Linked DNA regions of Saccharomyces cerevisiae S288C. The protein of the gene in region 4 binds, or shares a complex with, the protein of the main gene of each other region. Each region holds a gene or a part of one and is shown on either strand. Other genes may lie near its edges. A codon is read from its position in the direction of its gene.

Region 1 (7,151 bases), on a different chromosome or scaffold from region 4:
CTAGCACGTCGTCGAATCCTAAGACCTTGTTTGAAAAGAATCGTCCAAAATGGGAGAACTGGCGCCAATGAATAAACCAGACGAAGGTATCACGAACATGTGCCAAAGCTTGTACCGGTACCAAATTATGCGAATGTCAGTCAGTAACAATGTCAGACCCTACTATCAACCCAGATGTAGCTCAAGTGGAACCTACTGTTCTCTCAAGCTTTTTAATAGAAACGCTCATAGAATATCATAGAGAGTTCAATAATAGCGGTATCATAGTTTATCTGATAACGTGCAAACTGTCCTGATCATGAAGCGGAGTTGAATGACAGGGTGATGGAATTGATGGCTAGTTGCTTTCGTATGCCTCGGTATAGGCATGCTAATGACACCCTAGGGTGGCTATTAGTATGTTGCAATGCCGAGAGGAGGTTGAATAACAATACCATTACATCAGCCGATAATATAGTGCATTGTATCAGCAAAATTAAGCAGTCAATTTATTTTTTTATCATTTAATGGCGATGGTTGGATAATTGTCTAAGAACAGTATTGAGTATTGCAATAAACCACTAAGGTTAGCCTCACGGCCAAACTATGTTGGTATCACTGTTACTAACAAGGTGGTTGTGTACGTGAAGGCAGATTGGCCTCAGAAGGCTCTTACCATTAAATAACAAGGCCATTATTCCACTCAATAGCTTGGCACTTGCACATTTGTGTGCCATTTACACTGAATGATTCATCTTTTTGATATCATGCAATATAATAATACAGGTGATAGAATGCGAAAAGCACGGGAAATAGGTGACTTTTGAGATAGTTGTTGAATACCATTTCCATAACAATACAATTTGGACAACATTATCTTATACCGAATATACCTTAAGTTTTACTCGAAAATATAGGAATCCATAAAAGGATCGATGATTCTTCATAATAATATTATGGTTTCTCGTTCCACTTTATATGTTGTCACTCATTATCCTATTGCATTATCAAGTCGTGCGTTCCACCCCCATTAAATTTGATGGCAGCTTTTAAATCTTTACCTTTATGCCATATTTCTACGTCGTATATGTAATAAGATGGATGCTAGACTATAGGGGGTAGGTGGTTCCTCTTCCGACATGTAGAGAATGTGGATTTTGATGTAATTGTTGGGATTCCATTGTGATTAAGGCTATAATATTAGGTATGTAGATATACTAGAAGTTCTCCTCGAGGATTTAGGAATCCATAAAAGGGAATCTGCAATTCTACACAATTCTATAAATATTATTATCATCGTTTTATATGTTAATATTCATTGATCCTATTACATTATCAATCCTTGCGTTTCAGCTTCCACTAATTTAGATGACTATTTCTCATCATTTGCGTCATCTTCTAACACCGTATATGATAATATACTAGTAACGTAAATACTAGTTAGTAGATGATAGTTGATTTTTATTCCAACACGACAATCATGAGTAATTACTTGATAGTGGATAGTAAGTTTTGATAGACACTTCCATTTTAAACTGATTTCACTTTTTACAGTGGCTAGAAATTACAATAAGAAATGGGCGTGTGGCGTAGTCGGTAGCGCGCTCCCTTAGCATGGGAGAGGTCTCCGGTTCGATTCCGGACTCGTCCAAATTTTTTGCTACTTTGCAATTAGTGTAACTTCATATTTAAAATTATAGTTAATCAAGAACAGAATATCGTCACAATGCTCTTTAAATGTTACGTACTTCTTACCTCCAGCTTGACTATATACTTGTCAATTCGAGTTAACCCAGATTATGCCCCAACATGGAAAACTGAAAAATATTGATGAAGCGAGGAAAAAAAACGTCATAGGAAAAATTCAAATGTTGCAACTTCAGATGGTTTTCTTCAATATATACAATACTGAAGAAGTCCTTCTTAATAGTTCAAATCTGCTAAGCCATCAAAAAAAGTTCAAGCAATAGTTGGTTCTTAATGTCGTTTGGTGGAATCAATACATTTCAACAGTATAACACAGATTTAGGGCTCGGCCATAATGGTGTTAGAATATCCTTAAACTACTTTGATGGTTTGCCGGATCCAAGTCTTTTAAACTCCTTGTACTCGAACGAGCTGAAACTCATTTTCAAATCTCTTCTGAAAAGAGATGAAACTACAAAAGAAAAAGCTTTAATGGATCTTTCCAATTTGATCAGCGACTTTAACCAGAATGAGTACTTTTTCAATGACATTTTTCTTCTTTGTTGGTCGCAGATATATGCTAAACTGATAATTAGTGATTACAAGGTCATCAGACTGCAATCACATCAAATTACTATAATGCTTGTCAAAAGCCTTCGGAAGAAAATATCGAAGTTTTTAAAGGATTTTATACCTTTGATACTTCTCGGTACATGCGAACTCGATTATAGTGTTTCCAAACCTTCTCTTAATGAATTAACAGAGTGTTTCAACAAAGACCCAGCAAAAATTAACGCCTTATGGGCTGTTTTTCAAGAACAACTATTGAATTTAGTAAAGGAGATTGTTGTAAACGAGAATGAAGATACCATTTCTGATGAACGTTACTCCAGTAAAGAAGAATCTGAGTTTAGATACCACAGAGTTATAGCAAGTGCCGTATTGCTGCTGATTAAGCTTTTTGTTCATAACAAAGACGTCTCAGAACGTAATTCTTCCAGTCTTAAGGTGATTCTTTCTGATGAGTCAATCTGGAAACTACTTAACTTAAAAAATGGGCAAAATACAAATGCCTACGAAACAGTTCTTCGATTGATTGATGTTCTTTATACAAGAGGTTACATGCCTTCCCACAAAAATATAATGAAGTTAGCGGTGAAAAAACTATTGAAATCGTTGACTCATATTACGTCAAAGAATATTCTAAAAGTATGCCCTGTTCTCCCATCAATACTGAACCTTTTAGCTACCTTGGATGACTATGAAGATGGGACAATATGGTCATACGATAAATCTTCTAAAGAAAAAGTACTCAAATTTTTATCGGTTTCCCGTACTTCACCATCGCCAGGATTTTTCAATGCTGTGTTTGCATTGTACAGCTCGACTAAAAGACACAGTTTTCTTGATTATTATCTTGAATGGCTTCCATTTTGGCAAAAATCGGTGCAAAGACTGAATGAAAAGGGCTTTTCTGCGAGAAACAGCGCTGAGGTTCTTAATGAGTTTTGGACAAATTTTTTGAAGTTCGCTGAGGATTCATCAGAAGAAAGAGTGAAAAAAATGGTGGAAAGTGAGATTTTTAACTCTCTGTCTTGCGGGAAATCTTTATCTGAGTACACAAAACTGAACCAGACTCTTAGTGGCGTCTTTCCACCCGATAAATGGGAGAGAGAGATTGAAGATTACTTCACTTCAGACGAAGACATAAGAAAAATAAAGGTGAGCTTTGAGAAGAATCTTTTTGCTTTATTGGTTACTTCTCCTAATAACGAATCCGCAATTAGTCGTTTATTCGATTTTTTTGTGCAATTAATCGAAACAGATCCCTCAAATGTTTTCAACAAATACGACGGTGTATATGATGCTCTCAATTACTTTTTAGATTCAGATATGATTTTCTTGAATGGGAAGATAGGGAAATTTATAAACGAAATTCCAACGTTGGTCCAAGAATCAACATATCAAAACTTTGCTGGTATCATGGCACAGTACTCAAACTCCAAATTTTTCAAAATGAATACTGACGCGATTACTTCGTTGGAAGACTTTTTTATCGTTGCGCTTTCTTTTAACTTACCAAAGACAATAATTTTAGCCACAATGAATGAGTTGGACAATGATATTTATCAACAATTAATGAAATCAGATTCCCTAGAATTAGAATTGTACATTGAAGACTTTATGAAAAATTATAAGTTTGACGACAGTGGGGAAATATTTAAAGGTAATAATAAATTTTTAAATCAAAGGACTATCACCACACTTTACCGAAGCGCAGTTGCCAATGGCCAAGTTGAACAATTTTGTGCTGTTTTGTCTAAATTAGATGAAACTTTTTTTTCAACGTTATTGCTGAATACCGATTTTCTTTCTTGTGCATTGTATGAAGTTTCAGAAGACACTAATGAGAAACTATTCAAGTTGTCATTACAGTTGGCTAAAGGGAATTCTGAAATCGCTAATAAGTTGGCCCAAGTGATTTTGCAACATGCTCAGGTTTATTTCAGCCCCGGGGCAAAAGAAAAATATGTCACACACGCCGTGGAGCTAATTAATGGCTGCAACGATACTTCTCAGATTTTTTTTCCCGCTAACGCAATCGAAGTTTTTGCCAGATATATGCCAGCAATTGATTATAGGTCATCCTTAGTGAGCAGCTTAAGTACTAACACGCATTTGCTCCTTACAGATGATAAGCCTATCAATTTAAAAAATATGCAAAAGCTCATCAGGTATGCTCTATTCTTAGATGCCCTACTTGATGCTCTTCCAGAGCGCGTTAATAACCATATTGTTGCATTTATAACTGTAGTTTCTGAGCTCGTCACTGATTATAATTGCCTTTCAGAGGAACCAAATGATCTTTACTATGATTTTGGGCATACCTTTTTCAAACATGGCAAAGTAAATTTGAACTTTTCTGATATTGTTGGAAACGTTATTCAGCCTGCTAATGGTGGTGATGCTATGCTTACTTTTGATATTGCTGAAAGTAATTCTGTCTACTTTTTTTATTATTCAAGAGTATTATATAAGGTTCTATTGAACAGCATTGATACTGTTTCATCCACCACATTAAATGGGCTATTAGCATCGGTTGAAAGTTTTGTCACGAAAACTGTGAGGGATCAAAAATCTACTGATAAAGATTATCTCCTATGTGCTATATTACTATTGATGTTTAACAGGTCCAACTCAAAAGATGAGATAACGAAATTAAGGACATTGCTGGCATCTCAATTGATTGGGATTAGAGAAGTAGAACTTGTCGATCAAGAATTCAAGTCGTTAGCTCTTTTAAATAATCTGCTGGATATCCCACAGGCAGATAAACAGTTTGTTCCTATAGCACCGCAGAGACTGAACATGATATTCCGTTCAATACTAAAATGGTTGGATAGTGATCTTGCCTACGAGCCTAGCTTTAGCACCGTTAGATTGTTACTACTAGATTTTTTCACCAAACTGATGAGGTTTGAAGGAGTCAGAGATATGGGCATAACAGCTTTTGAACTTTCGGAAAGGTTGCTGGCAGACTCTCTATCGATGTGTCAAATTGATGACACTTTATATTTGTTAGAACTTCGCTCTTCCTGTTTGAACTTATATGAAACATTGTCGCAAGGCGTTTCCAAAAATGGCGAGGAAATCTCAGAATATGGTGATGAAATTCAAGAAAATTTGATTGAACTGATGTTTCTCAACTTTAATCAAGAAAGAAATAACCAAGTATCCACACTCTTCTACCAGAAATTGTACAAGGTCATTTCCTCAATGGAACTCAAAAAGTTAGAATCTCAATACAAAAGAATATTCGAGGTTGTATTGAATGATAAGGATATCGGTAGTAATATTAATCAATCAAGATTATTAACTACTTTGTTGGGTTCTTTGGTGGTAAAAACACAGCAGGATATTATAATTGAGTATGAACTGAGGATTCAAAAACAAACTGGCTCAGACGTAGATGGTAGTGCATCTGATAATGATGTAAACTCAAAATTTAAACTACCTCAAAAATTATTACAAAAAGTTACTGATGAGGTGCCAAAAGAATACCTTGAATACGAGAATAAAAATTCATTTATTAAATATCTATGGTATTGGCACTTGATACTGATGTACTTCAAAGATACGTCTTATAATATGAGACAAATATTTATTGAACAATTAAAGGAAGCTGGTTTAATCAATAGAATGTTTGATTTCATAACAGATCAAATAGATTTAAGAGATACTGAGTTTTGGAAACAGGTCGACACCAAGGAAATTTCGGAATACAACATTGTCGGCAATAATTTCTCTCCTTATAAAGAAGACATATTTGAAGAATGTAAAAAACTTTTGGGCCATACACTTTATCAGTTGTTTAACAACGTCGGTTGTCTAACGAGTATTTGGTGGTTAAATATAAAAGATAGGACATTACAAAATGATATTGAAAAGTTTGTCTCAGAGTTCATCTCCCCAATTTTGATCAAAAATGAATTTGACGATATCAATTCTAAGATGGACCGCCTGACTTCTAATGATGATGCTTTGACTATTAAATTAAATAATATTACTAATGAAGTGAAGGCAAGCTATTTGATTGACGACCAAAAGTTGGAGATTTCCTTCAAACTACCAAAAAACTACCCTTTAACAAATATCCAAGTTAATGGCGTCTCTAGAGTTGGTATAAGTGAACAAAAATGGAAACAATGGATAATGTCTACACAACATGTAATTACAGGCATGAATGGATCCGTTTTGGATTCGTTGGAGTTGTTTACTAAAAATGTGCACTTACAATTTTCTGGTTTCGAGGAATGTGCCATATGTTACTCTATACTACATGCCGTGGATAGGAAACTACCTTCGAAGACATGTCCGACTTGTAAAAATAAGTTCCACGGAGCATGTCTTTACAAGTGGTTTCGATCATCGGGTAACAATACATGTCCATTATGCCGTAGTGAAATTCCATTTAGAAGGTAGACTATCGCATATAAATTTCATATAAATGTACTACATTTTTTAAACAAAGTTCCTTTTATTATTGTGCTCTCTTACAAATTATACAATCCAGCCCTATACCTTGCCAATCCAGCCCATCACCCGGATATTCTGGAAATTTTTTCTCTTCAGGATTTTTTCAGGATAAAAATCGAACTTGAAAGAAGAATGGTTTTTAGTTCAGGCCTTGTTTTCAGTTTTTAGCTACTAAAAGAGGGATAACCATTGATGAAATTCTATTGAATGTCCCCAATTTTCGGAAAAGGACTGCACCGAAATATTTCAATCAAAATCATTTATCGTTTTGTTTAGCTATTTTTTTCTCAAATTATCACTCTTTTCTTCCTTTTTCATTCTCTCAATTGTTCTTTTTATTTGAGGAAATTTGATTGTATTGCATATACAACTATGCGATGCACTTTGTTCATTTTAACTTTGGATATATGTGCCTTGCTATGAACGCGTTCATTTTTAAGTGACCGGAC
Region 2 (3,967 bases), on a different chromosome or scaffold from region 4:
CCTACCATCGAATCAAACTATTGATATTAAATCTCAGTTTCAAAAAAGCCCAAAAGGGATGAAAGAGTCGTCTCCGTTAAAGGAGTTGGAAGATCCAAATTTCATAGAAGAGCAGAAAAAACTATGGGAAAAGGTTCAGAGTTCTTCCAAACAAGTAAAGTCCACATCCTCTGCATCTACTACCACATCTTCTTGGACTACGGTGACTTCTAAAGGGAAAGCACCTATAGGAACCGTTGTCTCCCCATATTCAAAAACCAATACCAGTTTAAATTCTTCATTAACGGCAAAAACTAGCACAACTTCTACTACCACTACCTTTGCTAGCATGAACAATGTTTCTCCCCGGCAAGAATTTATCAAATGGTGTAAATCACAGATGAAATTAAATTCTGGAATAACCAATAACAATGTCTTAGAACTATTATTGAGTTTACCTACGGGGCCAGAATCTAAAGAATTGATTCAAGAAACAATTTATGCCAATAGTGACGTTATGGATGGTAGAAGATTTGCCACTGAATTTATTAAAAGACGTGTTGCGTGCGAAAAACAAGGTGATGATCCACTAAGTTGGAATGAAGCGCTAGCTCTATCAGGCAATGATGACGACGGCTGGGAATTCCAAGTAGTGAGCAAGAAGAAGGGTAGAAAACACTGAAAGGAAAAGCTTCATAATTTTTTCTTTTCACTGCATATTTCTTTATCATTTATTGTTATTGTATATACTTTATAACTATTTTTTAACGCAGATAATGACAAATTCTATACATATTTTTAAAAAAACACTGAACGAGCGAATACATATCTTTGCACACAGTAGGCACTAATTGACTAATCTTCCATCATTATTTATTTTCAGCTCCCACTCTTTAATACACACTTCTTTCCGTTTCAAGATTGATTGATAACGTCTAGAGAGAGCTTGATTAAAGCAAATTTCTTTACAAACCATAACGAACAATTGAACCCAGCCCGGTTGCAATCTTTCAGCTTCTTGTAAAGTATCTTTAAATTCCAATTCAATTAATTTAACTTCAGTTTCAAATCTCTTCCAGTAATCCTCCCCAATAGAGCCATTTTTATATAGAAGGTTTATCTGAGGAGCCAACTCTTTTAACTTTAATGATCGTCTAACAGATTCTGCTCCTCTGTTCAATAAAGCGGCCTTCAACACCTTCTCGTGAATTTTTTCATTTTCACTCATTTCCTTTATTTGGAAATACAGATCATGGGCATCGTTTTCGTCAAATATGGATGGTTGCTCACTAATTTTTTTGGCCTGCTTCTTTCTGTAGCTTGAAGCAAACATCACAAGGGACACCACCAGAATAAAGACATATATGAGTGGGGTATAAACGGAGATTGATTTCGTCTCCACAATTGGCTCTTCCGTTTCAAAAAACGTCCCGTTGTTGGAGAATTTTGTTTCATTAAATTCGGACATATTGGCAAACTCAAGTAGTTGTGCGTACCTCTTTCCTGTACTTGAATTCGTTTAAATAAGCCATTTCATTAATATTTCATCAATTTTTTCACATATTATTTCAACTTTTAGACGTGTTCCTAAAACTTTTGACGTTTTTTGGCGGGTAATAAGATGCGTCTACCCATTTTAAGGAACGCCCTCGTAACATACAGAACGAAGAGTGGCAAATAATAGGACAGTACTCTGAAGAAAAATTTCCCTATACTACTGATATCGATATACATTTAAGTGAAGTATGCTTATCAGATTTAGATCAAAAAACGGTACACACAGGGTTTCTTGTCAAGAAAACGACCTTTTCGGAACGGTCATTGAAAAGTTGGTGGGTAATCTGGACCCCAATGCCGATGTCGACACATTTACTGTTTGTGAGAAGCCCGGTCAAGGTATTCATGCTGTTTCTGAACTAGCTGATCGAACAGTGATGGATCTAGGACTAAAGCACGGTGACATGCTGATCCTTAACTATTCGGACAAGCCCGCTAATGAGAAAGATGGTGTCAATGTTGAAATCGGATCCGTAGGTATTGACAGCAAGGGAATTCGTCAACACAGGTACGGTCCACTAAGGATCAAAGAACTCGCTGTAGATGAGGAACTAGAGAAAGAGGACGGATTAATTCCTCGTCAAAAATCAAAACTATGCAAGCACGGTGATAGAGGTATGTGTGAATACTGCTCGCCTTTACCTCCTTGGGACAAAGAATATCATGAGAAGAATAAGATCAAACATATATCGTTTCATTCATATCTTAAAAAGCTAAATGAAAATGCTAATAAGAAGGAGAACGGCAGCTCTTATATTTCCCCTCTTTCAGAACCTGATTTTAGAATCAATAAGCGTTGCCATAATGGCCATGAACCATGGCCTCGGGGGATATGTTCTAAATGTCAACCATCGGCAATTACATTACAACAGCAAGAATTTAGAATGGTTGACCACGTTGAATTTCAGAAGAGTGAAATAATTAATGAATTTATTCAGGCGTGGAGGTACACGGGTATGCAAAGATTTGGCTATATGTACGGATCTTATTCTAAGTATGATAACACACCTTTAGGTATAAAGGCCGTCGTTGAGGCGATATACGAGCCCCCTCAGCATGATGAGCAAGACGGTTTAACCATGGACGTAGAACAGGTCAAGAATGAAATGCTACAGATTGATAGACAGGCTCAAGAAATGGGGCTTTCGCGAATTGGCCTAATATTTACAGATTTATCTGACGCGGGAGCTGGGGATGGGTCTGTTTTTTGCAAAAGACATAAGGATTCGTTTTTTCTTTCATCATTAGAAGTTATTATGGCTGCTAGGCATCAAACAAGGCATCCTAATGTAAGCAAGTATAGCGAACAAGGTTTTTTTTCTTCCAAGTTTGTAACTTGCGTTATATCAGGTAATTTGGAAGGTGAAATTGATATTTCGAGCTACCAAGTATCCACAGAAGCTGAAGCATTGGTTACTGCAGATATGATAAGTGGGTCCACATTTCCTTCAATGGCATATATTAATGACACTACAGATGAAAGATATGTACCTGAGATATTTTACATGAAGTCGAATGAATATGGTATAACAGTGAAGGAAAATGCGAAGCCTGCATTTCCGGTAGACTATCTTTTAGTGACGCTGACTCATGGGTTCCCGAATACCGATACGGAAACCAACTCGAAATTCGTTAGTTCCACCGGATTTCCATGGAGCAATCGACAAGCTATGGGGCAATCTCAAGATTATCAAGAATTAAAAAAGTATTTATTCAATGTGGCTTCAAGTGGAGATTTCAATCTTTTGCATGAAAAAATCTCGAACTTTCATTTACTATTATACATAAATTCTCTGCAGATACTCTCTCCAGACGAATGGAAGTTACTAATAGAATCTGCTGTGAAAAATGAATGGGAAGAATCTCTACTAAAACTTGTCTCATCGGCTGGTTGGCAAACGTTAGTCATGATCCTTCAGGAAAGCGGCTAGGAGAGACTGTAAGATTTGAGGTTTTAGATTAAAAAAATAGAAATGCGCGGAAGGTAAAATTGAGCCTTTTTTATTTTAAAACTATGTAAATCATCCAAAATAGTAGACGTTTCTAGAACGTCCCCTTACCAAAAATCACATCATACGAGGAGTTTTAAGGAACAATAACTGGGAGTCGCTTTTACAAATTGGTATATATTAAGGTACTCTTGATATAAACCAAAGGACTTTGCCGTTTAGAGATTTTTATTTATGAAATCTTGTATATAGATTTTGGAAATATCCCTTAAAACTTCCTTTTTTTTTTTTTTTTACCTGTAACAGACGTAACCAAAGGATATAATATAATGAGCACTCCATTTGGCTTAGATTTAGGTAACAATAACTCAGTACTAGCAGTTGCCAGAAATAGGGGTATTGATGTCGTTGTCAATGAAGTTTCTAATAGGTCTACACCATCCTTGGTCGGCTTTGGCCCCAGAAATAGGTACTTAGGTGAA
Region 3 (5,440 bases), on a different chromosome or scaffold from region 4:
AATTTTTAACTATAAATTGAATCAGAGTCATCAAAAGTGAATTGAGCTTTAATAGATTTACTCTGTTACCGGGATTGAGCCTGGACTTAAATTTGTTGAAATAAGTTACTATCCCCTTATGGCAATTCTTTAAGTCCTCCAACGAGATCTGAGAGGAATATATAGAATTTATTGTTTCTATCAAATTATGAGCCTCATCAATAATTACTATAGAATTTTCAAGGTTTATTTGAAGACTTGAACGGGTGGACTCAGAAAGTAAGTATTGATATGGCAAAGTCACTACCTCCGCAATAGGAAGTGCCTCCCTCGAGGCGTAATAGGGACAAATTCCCAAAGATTTTCCCAGGGGAACTAAATCTTCAATATCTTGAATTTCTGAAAAAATCATATCTCTGAGAGCTAACGTATCAGGACAATGACGCCATTCGTTTGTATTTTGATAAAAGATACATCCCTCTTTACTATGTCTAAGGTCCGCACATGCGTCATTAATAGCTTCCAATGTTTTCCACTTCATCACTTTTGGATTAATACAAAGCTGCTTTTTCGAAGCAAGTGGTAAGTACTTCACCTTTTCATCTGGGACCTTATCCCTAAAGGATGATGGGAACGAGGGTAATCTTAACTGAGAAGTAAATTGACCTAATTGTGAATAAGTTCTGGATGCATAATATATTTTCACTGGATTTTGATTTGTAACGTCAAAGCGATCGCCATTGTTTGGATCTCTCGAAACCTTCCCATCAATTTTGTCTAAAAGTGTTATTATTTGTGAATTTAGTTCACTCAATTTGTAATCTTTATCAGATATTCTTCCTCCTCTTGTGCTTTTGGAGGTATCATTGTTTTCAGAATCTGATTCGTACGGGCGCGGAATAAAATCTTGTTCTTCAAGTGATACATCAAGGTGCCTAGCGCCTTTGCGTTTCTTTCTTAATGGATCAACTGATTTATATCTTCCATGTTCTTTATCTAAATCACACATAGTTTTCAACTGCTTACAACTGGTCGTGTTAATTTCGTTTAAATGCTTCTCATAATCATTTAGCAAATCCACCTTTTCTTGTAAAACAGACTTTCGATAAGTGTCAATAACCCAGTCTGGCTCGTCATCGCTTAGGTTTTCACTATCATCTTCATTCGTTTTGATGTTAGTTTCCATGCGGGTGAAAATATCTGCTTTATTCATTCTCAACCAAGTCATCGTGGCACAGATTAAGGACAGCGTCTTGCCTGTCCCAGTGGGGCTTTCCAGGATAGCTATTTTCTTCCCTTCGGATAGCACTCTGTATACAGTTTCCATTAACTGTACCTGAATATCATAGGGCTTATAAGGATGATAGAAAGTCTCCGAATATTCCTTTTTGTCCATTTTTTGGACTAGTGTGACTGTTTTTAGCCTGGTTTTCTACTCTTTTGGGTTTTAAGGAAACAAACTGAAGTTGCAGTAGTGCCCTCAACTTAGCATGTGCTGATTACACTAATGATGAATTTAAATATGTCAGTGATAATGTCATCAACTGTCAGGTAACAAATGAGCCTCTACCTCAACTCTGTGGTTACGATTAAAATTGGATTTTCAATAAATAGCCTGAGTTTTAACCTTTTCAACAATTGCGACTTCTCTTCCGGACATTAACTAATGCACTATATCTATTGTATATTTGGACGCGTTTGAACTTTTCATTCATGCTGCGGAAGGATAGAAAAATGAAATTTCGCCTGAAAAATAGTTTTAAAAGAATCCGATGGCAAATTGAAAAGAAAGTTGCTACTTATTATCCGGTCTAAGAAGTCAGGCAGGCAAGAGATTAATAGCGATGAAGCAAAGAATTAGTGCCCTAGATTTACTGCTGTTGGCTAGAGAGCTGAAACAGGATTTGGAAGGCTACCGATTGAGTAATATATATAACATTGCCGATTCCTCAAAACAATTTTTGCTGAAATTTAATAAACCAGATTCTAAACTCAATGTTGTTGTCGATTGTGGCTTAAGAATTTACTTAACTGAATTTAGTAGGCCAATACCTCCAACTCCTTCCGGCTTTGTTGTCAAACTAAGGAAGCATCTTAAAGCTAAACGGTTAACAGCTTTAAAGCAAGTAGACCAGGATAGAATTCTTGTTCTACAATTTGCTGATGGCCACTTCTATTTAGTTTTGGAATTTTTCAGTGCAGGGAATGTCATTCTTCTAGATGAGAACAGAAGAATTATGGCTTTGCAAAGAGTCGTTCTAGAGCATGAAAATAAGGTCGGACAAATTTATGAAATGTTTGACGAATCACTTTTTACCACAAATAACGAGTCTGCTGATGAATCCATAGAAAAAAACAGAAAGGCAGAATACACCTCTGAACTAGTCAACGAGTGGATAAAAGCAGTTCAAGCCAAGTATGAATCAGACATTACTGTTATTAAGCAACTTAACATTCAAGGGAAGGAGGGCGCTAAAAAAAAAAAAGTGAAAGTACCTTCCATCCATAAACTGCTGCTTTCGAAAGTCCCTCATTTGTCTTCAGATTTATTATCAAAGAACCTTAAGGTATTCAATATCGACCCTTCAGAGTCTTGTTTAAATCTTTTGGAGGAAACAGACTCACTCGCCGAATTGCTAAACAGTACTCAGTTAGAATATAATCAACTTTTAACTACCACCGATAGAAAGGGTTACATTTTGGCCAAAAGAAATGAAAATTATATCTCTGAAAAAGATACTGCCGATTTGGAATTTATTTATGATACATTCCATCCCTTTAAGCCATATATAAATGGGGGAGACACTGACTCTTCTTGTATCATTGAAGTTGAAGGTCCTTACAATAGGACGCTAGACAAATTTTTCTCAACAATAGAATCCTCTAAGTATGCTCTACGTATACAAAATCAGGAATCGCAAGCGCAAAAGAAAATCGATGATGCTCGTGCCGAAAATGATAGAAAAATACAAGCTTTATTAGACGTCCAAGAACTAAATGAAAGGAAAGGCCATCTCATAATTGAAAATGCACCCTTAATAGAGGAAGTTAAGCTTGCTGTTCAGGGTCTAATCGATCAACAAATGGACTGGAACACTATTGAGAAACTAATTAAAAGTGAACAAAAAAAAGGCAACAGAATTGCTCAGCTTTTGAACTTGCCTTTGAACTTGAAACAGAACAAAATTAGCGTCAAGCTTGATCTCTCTAGCAAGGAACTCAACACTTCTTCAGACGAGGACAATGAATCAGAAGGCAATACTACTGATAGTTCTAGTGACTCAGACTCAGAAGACATGGAGAGTTCGAAGGAGAGGAGTACAAAAAGTATGAAAAGAAAATCTAATGAAAAGATAAACGTTACAATTGACCTTGGTTTATCAGCTTATGCCAATGCCACTGAATATTTCAATATCAAAAAAACAAGTGCTCAAAAGCAGAAAAAAGTCGAAAAGAATGTCGGCAAGGCTATGAAGAATATTGAAGTCAAAATTGATCAACAATTGAAAAAAAAGCTAAAAGATTCTCACAGTGTCTTAAAAAAGATCCGCACTCCTTACTTTTTTGAAAAATATAGTTGGTTTATTTCAAGTGAAGGATTTTTGGTCATGATGGGTAAAAGTCCGGCTGAGACAGATCAAATCTATTCAAAATATATTGAAGATGATGATATTTATATGTCCAATAGTTTTAACTCTCATGTATGGATCAAAAATCCAGAAAAAACAGAAGTTCCACCGAACACTTTGATGCAAGCGGGTATACTATGCATGTCCTCAAGCGAGGCTTGGTCGAAGAAGATATCTTCTTCTCCATGGTGGTGCTTTGCAAAGAATGTTAGTAAATTCGATGGCTCTGATAACTCCATTCTGCCAGAAGGTGCCTTTCGGTTGAAAAATGAGAATGATCAAAACCATTTACCCCCTGCTCAACTTGTGATGGGTTTTGGATTTTTATGGAAAGTGAAAACCAGTGGAAATGAGGATAATGGTGATGATGACGAAGAAGAAGAAGAAGAAGAAGAGGAAGAAGAAGAAGAAGAAGAAGAAGAAGAAGAAGAAGAAGAAGAAGAAAAAGAAGAAGAAGAAAAAGAAGAAGAGCAACAGCAAGATGAAGACGATAGTAACGAGGTCAATGGGTTAGAGAAGGGTGGAGATTCAAACGATAGCACGAAAAACAACAGTTTTGAACACGATAATCTTGAAAAAGACATCGAAAAGCATTGCACCATATCATCCGATACCGACTCTGATTCTGGAAATGCTAAAGCCAAAAATGACAATAGCAGTACGCAGCGTATCCTTGATGAACCAGGTGTTCCGATATCTTTAATCGAAAACATAAACAGTAACGTCCGTGGTAAAAGAGGAAAATTGAAGAAAATTCAAAAGAAATACGCCGACCAGGATGAAACTGAACGTCTCTTGCGTTTGGAGGCCTTGGGTACTTTGAAGGGTATCGAAAAGCAGCAACAAAGGAAGAAAGAAGAAATAATGAAGCGAGAAGTTAGAGAAGATAGAAAGAATAAACGCGAGAAACAAAGAAGACTACAGGCTTTAAAATTCACCAAAAAAGAGAAAGCAAGAGTGAACTATGATAAACACAAGTCCGAATTAAAACCATCTCTCGATAAGGGCGATGTGGTTGATGATATTATACCAGTATTTGCCCCCTGGCCTGCGCTTTTGAAATATAAATACAAAGTCAAAATACAACCGGGAAGTGCGAAGAAAACTAAGACTTTAACTGAAATTTTACATTATTTCAAGAGTAGACCACTAGACGGTTCTTCAACTGACAACGAAATGGATTGGCCCCAAGAACATGAAATGATTAAAGGCTTGAAGGAACAGGACTTGGTTCTTCTGCTCTGTGTCGACAAGTTAAAAGTAACAATCGCTGGGCAGAAATCCACCAAGAACGGTGGTAACTCTTCGAAGAAGGGCAAAAAAAAACGCTAAATCATATGAGATGAAAAGAAAATAGACAGCAATTATAATTTTTTCATTATTTTTCATCACAGACCAACGAGAAGAATAAAATGATTAGCATGAGGTGACAATCATTTCTAAATGAGCAACATATACTTATATATATAAGTAGATACATATATATGGAAGGGAGAAAGTAAGACACTGCATATATACCATATAAGACCAGCTAAAATTTTCTTCTATCCGCTTTGCCTTGTGATCATAAGCCTTGCTGTAACCTTTCTTGAAACTTGCTCTTTGCGAAACCCCACGCGCCTAAGAAACCCTTATCCAAATCTAATGCCATTTGGGGTTCGTTCGTAGGTGGTTTAGAAACTCTGGATGCAATAGTGTTAGAGTCAGTTTCGAGGATAACACCATTATCAATGGTTTCATCAATAGCTAATAAAACCATATCATAGTTTTCTTGGATGTTTTTTTTGTCCATTCCTGAGTTCAAAATCAAATCCAAAGCTCCTCTGATTGCT
Region 4 (4,872 bases):
TTCGGTGAGGCTAAGTGCCTTCCCAACTTCTGGATATGTTCTGTAGATCTCAGCAGCATCAATGTGAATAATGCCAGGTAACTTCAGAGCATAAACAATCTGTTCGACCAAACTGTTCGAAAAGGTAGCATCCGTTTCTTCGTTTTTATACCATCTAGTACCTGTCCCAATGATGGCGATTGCGGGGATTTTATTTCCATTATTCAAGGTAAAGAACTGTTGGTGAAATGACATCTGTAAAAGTGTTGTTAACTGACCTCCGTTTCTTTAGGGTAACACAACCGTTTACATGTGTATCCATATCCACGTAGTATCCGACTATCAATATATCCGTATATATATATATATATATATGGGATGAGCGTATGTGAGTGTTTTCGTAGATATTCAAAATACGAGTAAAGGAGATCCTAGGTGTGGATTAGTAAGGGGAGTGTGGCAACTTCCTTTTTCCGGTTAATTCTCCGCGCTTTCGTTAGACTATTTTGCAAGGACCCAAATAGGAGACGCATGGAGGCTTCTACAAAACAGCGTGCCGTTTTGATGGCATGAGCAGGGGGCGCAAAGGAAACACCGGTAAATCGCGCAAGACCTTGTTGGCCACGTAGCCTCAAAGGTTGAATTGACACTTGTCTACAGAACTTGAAAAGTACAAAAGGAGGTCACATAAAACAGTAAGCTTGAGAAGCTTTAAGATATGGTGCGAATCGTTACAGAATATTCCTTGCAGAAATAATGGCGGGTCCGTTCTCTTCTGAAGAAGTTACCGCCCTACTGAAGCATTGCTGTACGATCGTGTAATGTGATGTGTGTTCGACTGGAAAGCGGAGAACATTATGAAGTAAAAGGACAATCAGCACGCCTTCCAGACTTTTAAGAAACATTGATGGAGCCATTGATATCGGCACCGTACCTAACAACAACAAAAATGTCTGCTCCTGCTACGCTTGATGCTGCCTGTATTTTTTGCAAGATTATTAAAAGTATGTCACATTACTAATAAAGAGCTTACACTCACACCAATGATGGCGATAGTCTCTATGTAGTACATATACATAAAGCAGAATACTAACAATCGATCCGCTATGCAACAGGCGAAATTCCATCCTTCAAATTGATTGAAACAAAGTACTCGTATGCTTTCTTGGACATCCAACCTACTGCTGAAGGTCATGCTTTAATCATTCCTAAGTACCATGGTGCGAAGTTGCATGACATCCCGGACGAATTCCTTACCGATGCTATGCCGATTGCCAAGAGACTGGCCAAGGCAATGAAGTTGGACACTTATAATGTGTTGCAGAATAATGGTAAAATTGCGCATCAAGAAGTCGACCACGTCCACTTCCATTTGATTCCTAAGAGAGATGAGAAAAGTGGTTTGATTGTAGGGTGGCCAGCCCAAGAAACGGACTTCGATAAGTTGGGCAAGCTACACAAGGAATTGCTTGCCAAACTAGAAGGCTCCGATTAGAGTAATGCATGCTATGATTTCTTTTAGCGTTTTCTTTTCATATTTAAGTTTATACATATGGGTGTGTTTGCTTCCATTCATATCCACTCTATAATGCTAACAATCATGTTACTAGCCATCGTTGCTATCGATACCTTATGAACAGCTCTAACTCCTTCCTTTTTAACCTACCGCCTTTTGCGCACTACCCGGCAACCCCTCGAATGTGAATTCGGTGGCAAAAAAGGACATATATCAGGGCCGTGTATTTAAGAGATCCGCAGTTGATGTAGTCAATTAATCTAGTTCTATTAAGATTTGACTCAACGCCATTGACTCGATAACTGGCTCAACTACAAGACAGATATACAAATCATGGGTGAAGAACATAAACCACTTTTGGACGCCTCGGGTGTCGACCCTCGTGAGGAGGATAAAACCGCCACCGCCATTTTAAGAAGAAAGAAGAAGGACAACATGCTTTTGGTGGACGATGCTATCAATGATGACAATTCTGTCATTGCTATTAATTCTAACACCATGGACAAATTGGAATTGTTCCGTGGTGACACCGTTCTCGTTAAGGGCAAGAAGAGAAAAGATACTGTCTTAATTGTGTTGATCGATGACGAATTAGAAGACGGAGCATGCAGGATAAACCGTGTAGTTCGTAACAATTTACGTATTAGGCTGGGTGATTTAGTTACAATTCATCCTTGCCCCGATATCAAATACGCTACTAGAATTTCTGTGTTACCAATTGCTGATACGATCGAAGGTATAACTGGTAATCTTTTCGATGTTTTTTTGAAGCCTTATTTTGTGGAAGCCTACAGACCAGTGAGGAAAGGCGACCATTTTGTTGTCAGAGGCGGTATGAGACAAGTCGAATTCAAGGTTGTGGATGTCGAACCTGAAGAATATGCCGTCGTTGCTCAGGATACTATTATTCACTGGGAAGGTGAGCCAATCAACAGGGAAGATGAAGAAAATAATATGAATGAGGTGGGTTACGATGATATTGGTGGTTGTCGTAAGCAAATGGCTCAAATTAGGGAAATGGTTGAACTACCATTGAGACATCCTCAGTTGTTCAAGGCTATCGGTATCAAGCCACCAAGAGGTGTTTTGATGTATGGTCCCCCTGGTACTGGTAAAACCTTGATGGCAAGAGCTGTTGCTAATGAGACCGGTGCCTTTTTTTTCTTAATTAATGGTCCAGAAGTCATGTCAAAAATGGCTGGTGAATCAGAGTCTAACTTAAGAAAGGCCTTTGAAGAAGCCGAAAAGAACGCTCCAGCCATCATTTTTATCGATGAAATCGATTCTATAGCTCCAAAGAGAGACAAGACTAATGGTGAAGTTGAGAGAAGAGTTGTCTCTCAATTGTTAACTTTAATGGATGGTATGAAGGCAAGATCTAATGTTGTTGTCATTGCTGCTACCAATAGACCAAATTCGATTGATCCCGCTTTAAGAAGATTTGGTAGATTCGATCGTGAAGTCGACATTGGTATCCCAGATGCTACAGGTAGACTTGAAGTTCTACGTATTCACACCAAGAACATGAAGTTGGCTGATGATGTTGATTTGGAAGCATTGGCTGCTGAAACACACGGTTACGTGGGTGCTGATATTGCCTCTTTGTGTTCTGAAGCTGCCATGCAACAGATCCGTGAAAAAATGGACTTGATAGATTTAGATGAAGATGAAATTGATGCAGAGGTGCTCGATTCTTTAGGAGTCACCATGGACAACTTCAGATTCGCATTGGGCAATTCAAACCCATCTGCATTGCGTGAAACCGTTGTTGAAAGTGTCAATGTTACTTGGGATGACGTTGGTGGCCTAGATGAAATCAAGGAGGAATTGAAGGAAACTGTAGAATACCCAGTCTTACATCCAGACCAATACACAAAGTTTGGGTTATCACCATCAAAGGGTGTGTTGTTCTACGGTCCACCAGGTACAGGTAAAACTTTGTTAGCAAAAGCTGTAGCTACTGAGGTTTCTGCCAACTTTATCTCAGTCAAAGGTCCAGAATTATTGAGTATGTGGTATGGTGAATCGGAATCTAACATCCGTGATATTTTTGATAAGGCAAGAGCAGCTGCACCAACCGTCGTTTTTCTAGATGAATTAGACTCCATTGCCAAGGCAAGAGGTGGTTCCTTGGGTGATGCTGGTGGTGCTTCGGATAGAGTCGTCAACCAACTATTAACAGAAATGGATGGTATGAATGCTAAGAAAAATGTGTTCGTGATTGGTGCCACCAATAGGCCAGATCAAATTGATCCTGCTATTTTAAGACCTGGCAGATTGGATCAATTAATTTATGTTCCATTGCCAGATGAAAACGCTAGATTATCTATTCTAAATGCTCAATTAAGGAAAACACCACTAGAACCAGGGCTAGAGTTAACTGCGATTGCCAAGGCCACTCAAGGTTTCTCTGGTGCTGATTTACTCTATATTGTGCAGAGGGCTGCTAAATACGCTATCAAGGATTCTATCGAAGCTCACAGACAACACGAAGCTGAAAAGGAAGTGAAAGTAGAAGGTGAAGACGTGGAAATGACAGATGAGGGAGCAAAGGCTGAACAAGAACCAGAAGTAGATCCTGTTCCATATATTACAAAGGAGCATTTCGCAGAAGCTATGAAGACCGCTAAACGTTCTGTTTCAGATGCTGAATTGCGTCGTTATGAAGCATACTCACAGCAAATGAAAGCATCTAGAGGTCAATTCAGTAATTTCAACTTTAATGACGCTCCATTAGGTACTACGGCTACGGACAATGCTAACAGTAATAATAGTGCTCCAAGTGGAGCAGGTGCTGCATTTGGTTCTAATGCGGAGGAAGATGATGATTTGTATAGTTAGTTATATGCCAGGTATATTTTTATTTTAAATCGTAAATTCAAGTCATTTCTATAAAAAAAATCGTCAATTTTAACTCAATATTTTATGGCCCTTTTTATATTTATTTTCAAATTTGTCAAAAAAAGGAGAGCTAAATCATTAGAAAAAGAATGCATTATGGTATATTTATGTATATTAATATGTAAAATAAGAAAAAAGGGAGGCTGTAGGACCTCGGTCGTAAGAACATTTACCTGTGTTCTTCCGCCTTTTCCGAAAGTGCCATGAAGAAACGCAGGCCAGGCATAATTTCGACATTTAAAATCACGATTTGAAGTAATTTGACCAATTCGATTTCTTTACTTTTGTATCTTCTTTTATTATCTGTTTGTTTAACCCAGTTTTCAAGATCACAGGGCGCGCTTTACTAAAATTAAAAGGCTTAATTGTCGGTATTGGCCTATTTTCCTTGTTATCGTGTTTGGAGTCTATGTTGTATGTTCGCGGAGAAAACTTGTCGCTAATGTTATTGGATTCGTGTAGTTCGGGCAAAGTTC

Evidence for each region.
Region 1: CDC48 (region 4) and RKR1 share a complex: the UniProt entries of both Saccharomyces cerevisiae proteins name them as parts of the ribosome quality control complex.
Region 2: the proteins of CDC48 (region 4) and NPL4 are in contact, whole or in part, in a cryo-EM structure (PDB 8DAR), measured with the Saccharomyces cerevisiae proteins. Residues at the interface, in NP_010157.1 of Saccharomyces cerevisiae: Arg74 (codon at 2,048), Asn207 (codon at 2,447), Met208 (codon at 2,450), Asn209 (codon at 2,453), Arg266 (codon at 2,624), Asn270 (codon at 2,636), Gly273 (codon at 2,645), Ala274 (codon at 2,648), Phe275 (codon at 2,651), Phe276 (codon at 2,654), Phe277 (codon at 2,657), Leu278 (codon at 2,660), Ile279 (codon at 2,663), Asn280 (codon at 2,666), Glu283 (codon at 2,675), Lys287 (codon at 2,687), Ala289 (codon at 2,693), Gly290 (codon at 2,696), Glu291 (codon at 2,699), Ser294 (codon at 2,708), Asn295 (codon at 2,711), Arg297 (codon at 2,717), Lys298 (codon at 2,720), Ala299 (codon at 2,723), Glu302 (codon at 2,732), Lys305 (codon at 2,741), Asn306 (codon at 2,744); in NP_009729.1 of Saccharomyces cerevisiae: His205 (codon at 2,337), Asn206 (codon at 2,340), Gly207 (codon at 2,343), His208 (codon at 2,346), Glu209 (codon at 2,349), Trp211 (codon at 2,355), Pro212 (codon at 2,358), Arg213 (codon at 2,361), Gly214 (codon at 2,364), Ile215 (codon at 2,367), Cys216 (codon at 2,370), Ser217 (codon at 2,373), Lys218 (codon at 2,376), Gln220 (codon at 2,382), Ser222 (codon at 2,388), Ala223 (codon at 2,391), Thr428 (codon at 3,006), Tyr433 (codon at 3,021), Val434 (codon at 3,024), Pro435 (codon at 3,027), Glu436 (codon at 3,030), Phe438 (codon at 3,036), Lys450 (codon at 3,072).
Region 3: CDC48 (region 4) and RQC2 share a complex: the UniProt entries of both Saccharomyces cerevisiae proteins name them as parts of the ribosome quality control complex.

The regions. Positions count from the first base shown.
Region 1 is NC_001145.3:762,848-769,998, reverse strand, and holds RKR1 (ubiquitin-protein ligase RKR1), read left to right. Parts: upstream 1-1,959; coding exon 1,960-6,648; downstream 6,649-7,151. Other genes in the region: YMR247W-A (uncharacterized protein), read right to left, coding at 573-716. UniProt on the Saccharomyces cerevisiae protein: E3 ubiquitin-protein ligase component of the ribosome quality control complex (RQC), a ribosome-associated complex that mediates ubiquitination and extraction of incompletely synthesized nascent chains for proteasomal degradation.
Region 2 is NC_001134.8:575,844-579,810, reverse strand, and holds NPL4 (nuclear protein localization protein 4), read left to right. Parts: upstream 1-1,724; coding exon 1,725-3,467; downstream 3,468-3,967. Other genes in the region: SMY2 (Smy2p), read left to right, coding at 1-661; Sec63 complex subunit SEC66, read right to left, coding at 827-1,447; adenyl-nucleotide exchange factor SSE2, read left to right, coding at 3,815-3,967. UniProt on the Saccharomyces cerevisiae protein: Substrate-recruiting cofactor of the CDC48-NPL4-UFD1 segregase. Assists CDC48 in the dislocation of misfolded, polyubiquitinated ERAD substrates that are subsequently delivered to the proteasome for degradation.
Region 3 is NC_001148.4:535,320-540,759, reverse strand, and holds RQC2 (Rqc2p), read left to right. Parts: upstream 1-1,823; coding exon 1,824-4,940; downstream 4,941-5,440. Other genes in the region: CHL1 (DNA helicase), read right to left, coding at 1-1,375; RET3 (coatomer subunit zeta), read right to left, coding at 5,173-5,440. UniProt on the Saccharomyces cerevisiae protein: Key component of the ribosome quality control complex (RQC), a ribosome-associated complex that mediates the extraction of incompletely synthesized nascent chains from stalled ribosomes as well as their ubiquitin-mediated proteasomal degradation.
Region 4 is NC_001136.10:235,621-240,492, reverse strand, and holds CDC48 (AAA family ATPase CDC48), read left to right. Parts: upstream 1-1,828; coding exon 1,829-4,336; downstream 4,337-4,872. Other genes in the region: YDL124W (aldo-keto reductase superfamily protein), read right to left, coding at 1-234; HNT1 (adenosine 5'-monophosphoramidase), read left to right, coding at 887-983, 1,095-1,474; cyclin PCL2, read right to left, coding at 4,640-4,872. UniProt on the Saccharomyces cerevisiae protein: ATP-dependent chaperone which probably uses the energy provided by ATP hydrolysis to generate mechanical force to unfold substrate proteins, disassemble protein complexes, and disaggregate protein aggregates.